Linked DNA regions of Cricetulus griseus. The protein of the gene in region 1 interacts with the protein of each later gene in a pairwise test. Links are inferred from orthologs where the notes say so. Each region holds a gene or a part of one and is shown in the gene's direction. Other genes may lie near its edges.

The links. The genes of interacting proteins can lie anywhere in the genome.
Region 2: the proteins of Tpr (region 1) and Nup153 interact in a two-hybrid assay, tested with the Homo sapiens proteins (3 studies listed by BioGRID, with this or other methods). The link is inferred for Cricetulus griseus from reciprocal best matches to the Homo sapiens genes TPR and NUP153.

The regions. Positions count from the first base shown.
Region 1 is NC_048598.1:41,200,431-41,204,837, reverse strand, and holds the start of Tpr (nucleoprotein TPR), read left to right. Parts: upstream 1-1,557; 5' UTR 1,558-1,702; coding exon 1,703-1,724; intron 1,725-2,078; coding exon 2,079-2,375; intron 2,376-4,008; coding exon 4,009-4,113; intron 4,114-4,407.
Region 2 is NC_048596.1:266,378,212-266,381,863, reverse strand, and holds part of Nup153 (nuclear pore complex protein Nup153), read left to right. Parts: coding exon 1-167; intron 168-3,085; coding exon 3,086-3,254; intron 3,255-3,565; coding exon 3,566-3,650; 3' UTR 3,651-3,652. UniProt on the Homo sapiens protein: Component of the nuclear pore complex (NPC), a complex required for the trafficking across the nuclear envelope. Functions as a scaffolding element in the nuclear phase of the NPC essential for normal nucleocytoplasmic transport of proteins and mRNAs.

The DNA.
Region 1 (4,407 bases):
TGGATCAAAATAGTGAAACCCTACCTCAAAAAAAAAAATCACAATTACCAATTAACCATGAGAAATCAAAGCTATTTCTCATTCTTGGGATAAGGAAATAATGAAACCATTAGTCAACACATCTAATTTCTTATTTTAGATCTATTCCTCAGCTACATTCTCTTTGTTAATTTATTGGTGAATTTCCATGTTCTCATTTCTAAATTATGAGACATGAATTTCCAATGAGTTCATTAAGAGGCAGAGAGATTCAAATTTCTTTACACAATATATATTATACAATTATTACTTTCTAGAAATTGTACTCAGCGGGAAGGCACAAAAGTGAACCATAATTGCTGACATGAGACAACTCACTTAACAGCCACTTAAGTAAACAGTAGTACAACAATGATAACTAACTATATAGCTTCCATTCTACACCGGGCATTATTCTAGGTACTTTCCATATATTGACATTTAATATATAACGCTACTACACAAGTACTACTGTCATATCTGTTTTATACATAAAGAAATCAAAAGAAGGAAATGTTAAATGACTCCACCAAATGACAAGACTGGTGTGTGTGTGTGTGTGTGTGTGTGTGTGTGTGTGTGTGTGTAAGGCGGGATTTAAGCTCTGACAGTTTTGCTCACACAGACAACATATACTTTCCTTCAATCAAATCATTGCAAAGGACAGCTCCTGTTCTCTCCTTCAGTTTGTGAATGGAAACTAGTATAATACCCGTACTAACTTAACCCCTCCCACCCACTTCGTTGAAAACAGGGTCTGACTACTAACCCAGGCTGTACTGAAATTATAACCCTTCTGCCTCTTACTCTGTTGTTGAGATCATAGGTATGTGCTAGCCCTTATTTTCAATCAAGCGTCAGTAAATTCCAGAAAAGCAACCAGGCATGAAACAAAGTACGTACTGAAAGTGCTGAAACATGATCTGGGAACAAACATAGTTCTGTTATTGGGGCAAGATGGTATCTTGGGAATTTTTTTTAACATTTTCATATAAAAACATCAACATCAGACTTTTTTTTCCTGCAATGTCATCTTAACACATAAACTACATTCAAACTCTTCCTGATTCCTTTTTGTCTAAAACATTAACTGGATTACTACTTAAATTCGCACCGATCAGTACCTCCAAGTACCAAAAGCATGTTTGTACGAGGTTTGACATGAGCTAAACTCCTCAGAACTGGACTTCAGAGTGCACCGGAGTGACTGTCCGTCCATATGTTCCCTACACTATACCCTTTCCTTGCTCCCTTTGAAGAGGAAGTTGTTGTTGCTCGAGTGTACACACCTTCGTGGGCCCACTCACTTGTTCGCAGAATGTGCACACGTGGCCAATAAATCCCCCGAACCTTCGGTCAGCAAGAGAACGCGGGTGAGAGGACAAGTAGCAGCCTTCAAGGGTCAGATGCCACTCAGGTGCTGCTTCCACAGCCTATGAACTCATCAAAAAGCGACTGCAGTCGCACCACTTCCCGCTCCAAACTAGGGCACCGACGGGCGCAGCCTGATGACGCAGGCCGTGCCGCACTCATCTCCGCAGCTCTTCCACCAAAGCAAGTGTGGCCTGCACCCCGCCCCCTTCGGGCACCATTGAGAGCGTGGCGGCAGCCCGGAGCCTGCTGATCCGCCCTGCCGCGACCCTCTAGCGGCTCGGTTTCTAGCAGCGGCCACCGAGGAGTACCCATGGCATCCCGGGGTTTTGACGGTAAGGTCGCCTTGCTCCTCGGGGAAGGACGATGGTTGCTGAGCACGTATGTAGCGCCACCGCGCGGACACTCGTCACCGCGGAACGAGGAGAGCCGGGGGCGGGGAGAAAGAAGGAAAGGGAACGGGAGGTGCGGGAGGGGGAGGGGGGTATCGAAGCTCGCGGAAGCGAGTCGTGAGAGATACTACATTTCCCAGGAGTCTTTGGGTCTGGAAGCGGGTGCAACCAAAAGTTAGGTCAGAGGCCCGCTGTGAACTCGCATTCCCAGCGTGCTTAGCTGCCGGCGGCTGCGTGCGCACCCGGGGCGCGGTGGCGCGGCCCGTGCTGCGTCTGACGCGGGACTCTATTTCCCAGGATCCCGCCGCGGGAGTCTGCGGCGGGCAGGCGCGAGGGAGCCAGCGAGCGACCCTGCAGACGGGGCGCCTCAGGCATCGGGGTTTCGCGCTTCGCCTAGCTCCTTCGTTTCTCCTTCGGCCGCCGCTGCCGCGACCCCGGCCGACATGGCGGCGGTGTTGCAGCAAGTGCTGGAGCGCCCGGAGCTGAACAAGCTGCCGAAGTCGACCCAGAACAAACTTGAGAAGTTCCTGGCTGACCAGCAGTCGGAGATCGACGGCCTGAAGGGGCGGCACGAGAAATTTAAGGTGGAGAGCGGTAAGTGCTGAGCACCTTAGAGCTCTGATGGAGCCGTGGCTCGACCTTCCTCTTCACCCGCTTGCGCTCTGCGAGGTGGGCAGGTAGCATCACACAGGCTCCAGATGCAGTGTAGGCCTTCTCTTTTCTCCTCGATGACTGATTTTTTTTTTTTACAAAAAAAAAAAAAAAGAAAAGAAGAGAGCCGTCCTCCTCCCAGACCTAAATCCACCTTCATCGCGTCTTATGTAGGAACTCTTAACTTGGGCCCACATACAAACTGTGAAGAATTTTGGTCAGTTTACATCAGATTTTTAGGATTATGCCAACCAAATCGGATTCCGTTTTGTTGTTCTTAAATGACCGTAATTCCTCCCATTTTCTACCCACCTGGATGTATAAGCCTTTGCCAATTTCATCTCTTCGATGCCTTGTTCTTAGTGTATGTGTCTCCATGTGGTCCCATAACTAAGTAGATGGTCACGAAAATGAATTTGGATGCAAAAGACTTCACTAGAAAAAACAGTGAAATTGCACTAAATGAGTTGGGTATATCGTGCTTCCCTCAGAAAGTTGGAGATGTTCACAAAAAATGAATTTGGATGCAAAAGAAATCACTAGAAAAACAGTGAAATGGCACTAAATGAGTTGGATATATAGTGTTTCACTCAAAGTTGGAGATGGATAGAAAATATATACAGATCTGCTTATATGCCCTTGTAGTTGCTTTTGTAAGAGAAAGTTATGAACTTCGTGGTTGGAACAGCCTTGAAATAAAAATAGTAATTACTGTTAATAAAATAGAATTTTTCTTGTTGCATGTTTTGGTTTACCATTAATTGAGGGAATTGGTGCAGTATTTTGGTAGAGATTGGAAAATCCACCCGAGTTAATTTTCACTTATCAAGCAAAGTTGACAATTGAAATTATACAGTTCATTGGTGAAATAAGAAATTTGCATAATAATACACCATATTCTGTTTATTTACGAAATAAATATTGAGTGATTTATATGTCCCAATACCAATACTAGAATGAAGTAAACAGTGTCTACATGGTCTCCCTTTTTTTTTTTTTTTTCTTGTGAGTTTTTGAGACAGGGTTTCTCTGTAGCCCTGGCTGTCCTGGACCTCACTCCGTAGACCAGGCTGGTCTCCACAAAGATCCTCCTGCCTCTACCTCCCAAGTGCTGGGACCAAAGGCATGCTACAACCACCCTGCTCTCAGTCTTTTTTTGTGGGAAGTCTGCATGTTTCTTTTTACGGAAATTTAAGCAGGTGGGTATTTTAACTATTTTACATGAAACCTTTTTAAACTACTCAGATTTTAATTAAATGAAATTTCAATTTAGTAAATACTTTTAAATGTTTAGCAATCTCCTGAGGTCTGGAGAAAATACCAAGATACGGCATTGTTGCCTGCTTAGAAGAAATTAATTCATGAATCCCCTTTTAGGCATATTGTCTTTTGTTATATGTCAGTTGAAAATGTTGGAAAAGCCTTTTCAGTGCTAAATCTATATTGAGAATAGGTTTTCAAATATTAAGTTTTGCAGTCACTATTCTAAGAAATGAATAGTGGTATTAAGACTACTGCTTTTGGCGGGGGCATGTGTGCTTGACTTTACTTTTAATGTTTGTATTGTCTTTTTTAGAACAACAATACTTTGAGATAGAGAAGAGGTTATCCCATAGTCAGGAGAGGCTTGTAAATGAAACCCGTGAGTGTCAGAACTTGCGGCTGGAGCTTGAGAAGCTAAGTAAGTATTTAATTATATCTTTGTTACTGTTCTTGTGTGTTCCATTACTCCTTCGAGTAGCAGTACATAGGCAGGGAGACTGCCCCTCTTGGAAACAGGTTTTCCAGATAGCAAAGCCCTAAGCAGAGTGTTACTAACAAGGTAAGGAAGGACACACCCAGTCCTCCCCCCCCTTCAGGCCCAGAGGCACACTGACCACTGTCACATCTCATAAGTCCTATATTAGTTTCTTCCTTCTTGGGGCCTTCCAAACACCTCCACCCAAACCACAAAAAAAGAAAAAAAAAAGTGTTT
Region 2 (3,652 bases), on another chromosome or scaffold:
CCCTCCAAGCTTTGGCTCTATATCATCTTCAACATCGTTGTTTTCTGCTGGTTCCCAGCCTGCACCACCACCTACTTTTGGGGCAGTGTCAAGCAGCAGCCAACCTCCTGTGTTTGGGCAGCAGCCTAGTCAGTCTGCATTTGGCTCTGGGACAGCTCCTAATTCCAGTAAGTTGAGTAATGACACGTTGTATCTGTTCTTTGAGTCTGGTGGCTTAAAATAGTGTTTTGTTTTGCTTGTTTTTTTTTTTTTTTTTTGAACTTTGAAACCATGTGTATATCTTATTTTCTAATGTTTTATACTTAACCGTGAAGTGTGGTGTTTTACATTGTAGAGTTTTAGTCACTGCATTTGATGGCATTAAAGGATATTTAAAAGTATTTTTTCCTCTGATGTCTCTGTTTCCCTGTAGGCTGCCGTGGAGTAGGGTTTTGATTTCCTTTGGGAAGTTAGACCTTACTTGTGCTGACTTGTCTCACAGCAGTTGGATAATACTGCTGTTCCCTCTGCATATCACCAAAAGTTCTTGTGGCTTTTTTTTTCTTTTTTAAATTAATTTTTTTATTTAAATCAAAAACAATCTTACTTTACATCCCAATCCCAGTTCCTTCTTCCTCCTGTCCTCCCATTCTCCCCCATCCCCTCATCCCACCCCCATCCATTCTTCAGAGAGTGTGAGGCCTCCTATGGGGGAATCATAAAAGTCTGAATTCTTCTTTTTAAGGCTAGTCTTGGGGATGGGGGCAGGCAATCAGCATCACCAGGAAGAATGGAAATTTCACGAAGATAACCTCCTCCTTGGAGGCTCCTCCCCCAACAAGTTTTACATACTGCTTGGCAGGAAACAGGAAATAGGACTTTTAGCTGCCTTTGTTTTCACTGTAGTATTGTGTTTTTATTAGTAAATACAGGATTGTTTAATTTTTAAATCTTGGTTAATTGCAATATACAACATTTTAGATACTAATTAAATCAAGAAACATCAATATTGAAGATATAAAACATAAATTTTGTGGTTCCTAGACATTGATGCCTTTTATATAATTTGTATTATTTATGATGTAAAAATAAGAATTAACCCAAATCTTTGAGTAACTTATAGCTAGACTAACTAGATTTAAAGTTCAATTCAGAAACTAGAATTTTTATCTGAATTAATACTGAATAATAAGAATGTATTATATGCATATTTATAAAGACAATGAAAATTTGATTATTTCAAACATTAATTTTGTATAAGGTAGGAGTTCAAGGTAAGCAAACAGTTATAAAAAAAGTTATGATAAGATGAAACATATTTTCATTTATAACTTCATTAAAATCAAGATTAGTATTATTTTATCATTTATAAATATACCAAGTAGAATATTACATGTCATATTTTTCAAATCTAATTACAAAAATATTTAAGAAACATAAAAGGTAAGAAAAATGTTTTCTCAACTGTCAGTGGTGTTGAAGATGAGTGTCATGCAGCATTTTTTTATTTGAATTAGAAGCAAGATTGAATTACATGACAATCCCAGTTCCCTTCTCCCTCCCTTCCTCCCCTACCACCCCCCCAACTAAAACCCTACCTATCCCATATCCTTTCTTCTAATCTACACCTGACTCAACCTTTCTGCTCCCTCATGACCTCAGCATTCTTTCTTTTCTTCCCTTCTCATTCTCGTAGCTCCCTCTCTCCCTCTTCCCATGTTCTCAATTTGCTCAGGGGATGGTGACCCTTTCCCCTTCTTCAGGGGATAAAGTTTGTCTCTTTTAGGGTCTTCCTTGTTTACTAGTTTCTCTGGGAGTGTCGATTGTAGGCAGGTAATCCTATACTCTATGTCTAAAATTCACATATGAGTGAGTACATACCATGTTTGTCTTTTTGTGATTGGGTTACCTGGTTCAGACTGGTTTGTTGGAGTTCCATCCATTTTCCTGCAAATTTCAAGATTCCATTGTTTTTTTTCTGCTGAGTAGTACTCCATTGTGTAAATGTACCACATTTTCTCTATCCATTCTTCAGTCGAGGGGCATCTAGGCTGCTTCCAGTTTCTGGCTATTACAAATAATGCTGCTATGAACATGGTTGAACAGATGTCCTTGTTGTGTGAATGTATTGCTTTTGGGTATATGCCTAGGAGTGGAATTGCTTCTTGTGACTTTTTAAATTCAACTGATTGTACTGTATTTTAATACGGCATTCTTTCAAAATTTTACCATTTGATCTTTCTAATAGAATTATCTCATGAAAGAGTCATAGTGTGGAAGCTTGTATGTGTGTACAGACAGCTGGAGGCACATGTGATTATACTCCTCTTTCTTTGCTCTAATGGTGACCACTGTCCTGTCCATTGGACTCTAGTTGACTGATACCTCTAGAAAATAAAGCTTTGCCTGATACTTATCTATACAGTGGACTCTTGCTGTGTGCACCTTGCTTCTTTGCTCTTACATTTTCTGTGTTGTGCTGTTGCATATGGTTCTGTCCCTGCTGCAGAGTGGTTGTCAGTCTGTTCATTTACTGTTTTGTGTTAGTCAGTTTTGACTGTCAGGAAATGCTGTGTTACATGTTATAGAGTAGAGGATATTAACCTTTTGGGGGAGCACATGTGTTTCTCTTGATGCGCTCTGAATAGAAAGGTTACCCCATAATTTAAAAGGTATTTATTACACACTTCCTGCTGGGGTTTTCCACTTCACATGCTGCCACTGCTGGATGACAAACTTCTTATTTGGTTTCTATGTATTTTCCATTTTTTTGCAAATTCTTTTATAAGTATTTTGTCCTTTAGTTTCGTTTGGTTACTGGTTTGTAAGGTTCATCTTGTATTCTGGTGTTTGTACTTAGCTCATGTGTGCTCTAAATTCTCCTGTTTTGTGGTAGCCCTGGCTGGTCTTTTACTGGTTCTATAGAACCAGGTTGGCCTTGAACTCACAGAAATTCTTTGCTCTGTGCATCCTGAGTGCTGGGACTAGAGGTGTGCATCATCACGCCTTGCTGAGATCTTAATTTTTCATATGTTATAATATGTCTAGGTGAGCGTCCATCTTAACATTGTGTCATTAATGCAATATTTCTGCTTAATTTGTATAGGTTCTGTTTTCCAATTTGGCAGCAGCACCACAAATTTCAACTTCACAAACAATAATCCGTCAGGAGTGTTCACATTTGGTGCAAATCCCAGCACGCCAGCAGCCTCAGCCCAACCCTCAGGTTCAGGGGGCTTTCAATTCAGCCAGTCTCCAGCATCATTTACAGTGGGGTAAGAGATGATCCTATTTCATTGAGATTTTACATTGGTAAAGGGGTGTGTGTGTTTCTAAAAGTAAATCAGGCAGTAATATAGTTTGGGTAATAGTAAAAACTACTATGATACTGTAGTTTTAGGGACTGTATTACAATCTGAGAGAAAAGCAGCAAGTTATAGGCCAGGAAGAGCAGAAGACGTTTGCTTGTAACAACTGCATTTTCCTCACTGCCCCCCCACCCCCCATTTTGTTACTGGTCATGTTAAGTGGTTATGAGTTCTCTCTTTGTTCTGAGCATCCTGTCACATGTTGTGTTTTTCCACAGGTCAAATGGGAAAAATATGTTCTCTTCTTCCGGAACTTCAGTTTCTGGTCGCAAGATAAAGACTGCTGTCAGACGCAGGAAATAAAG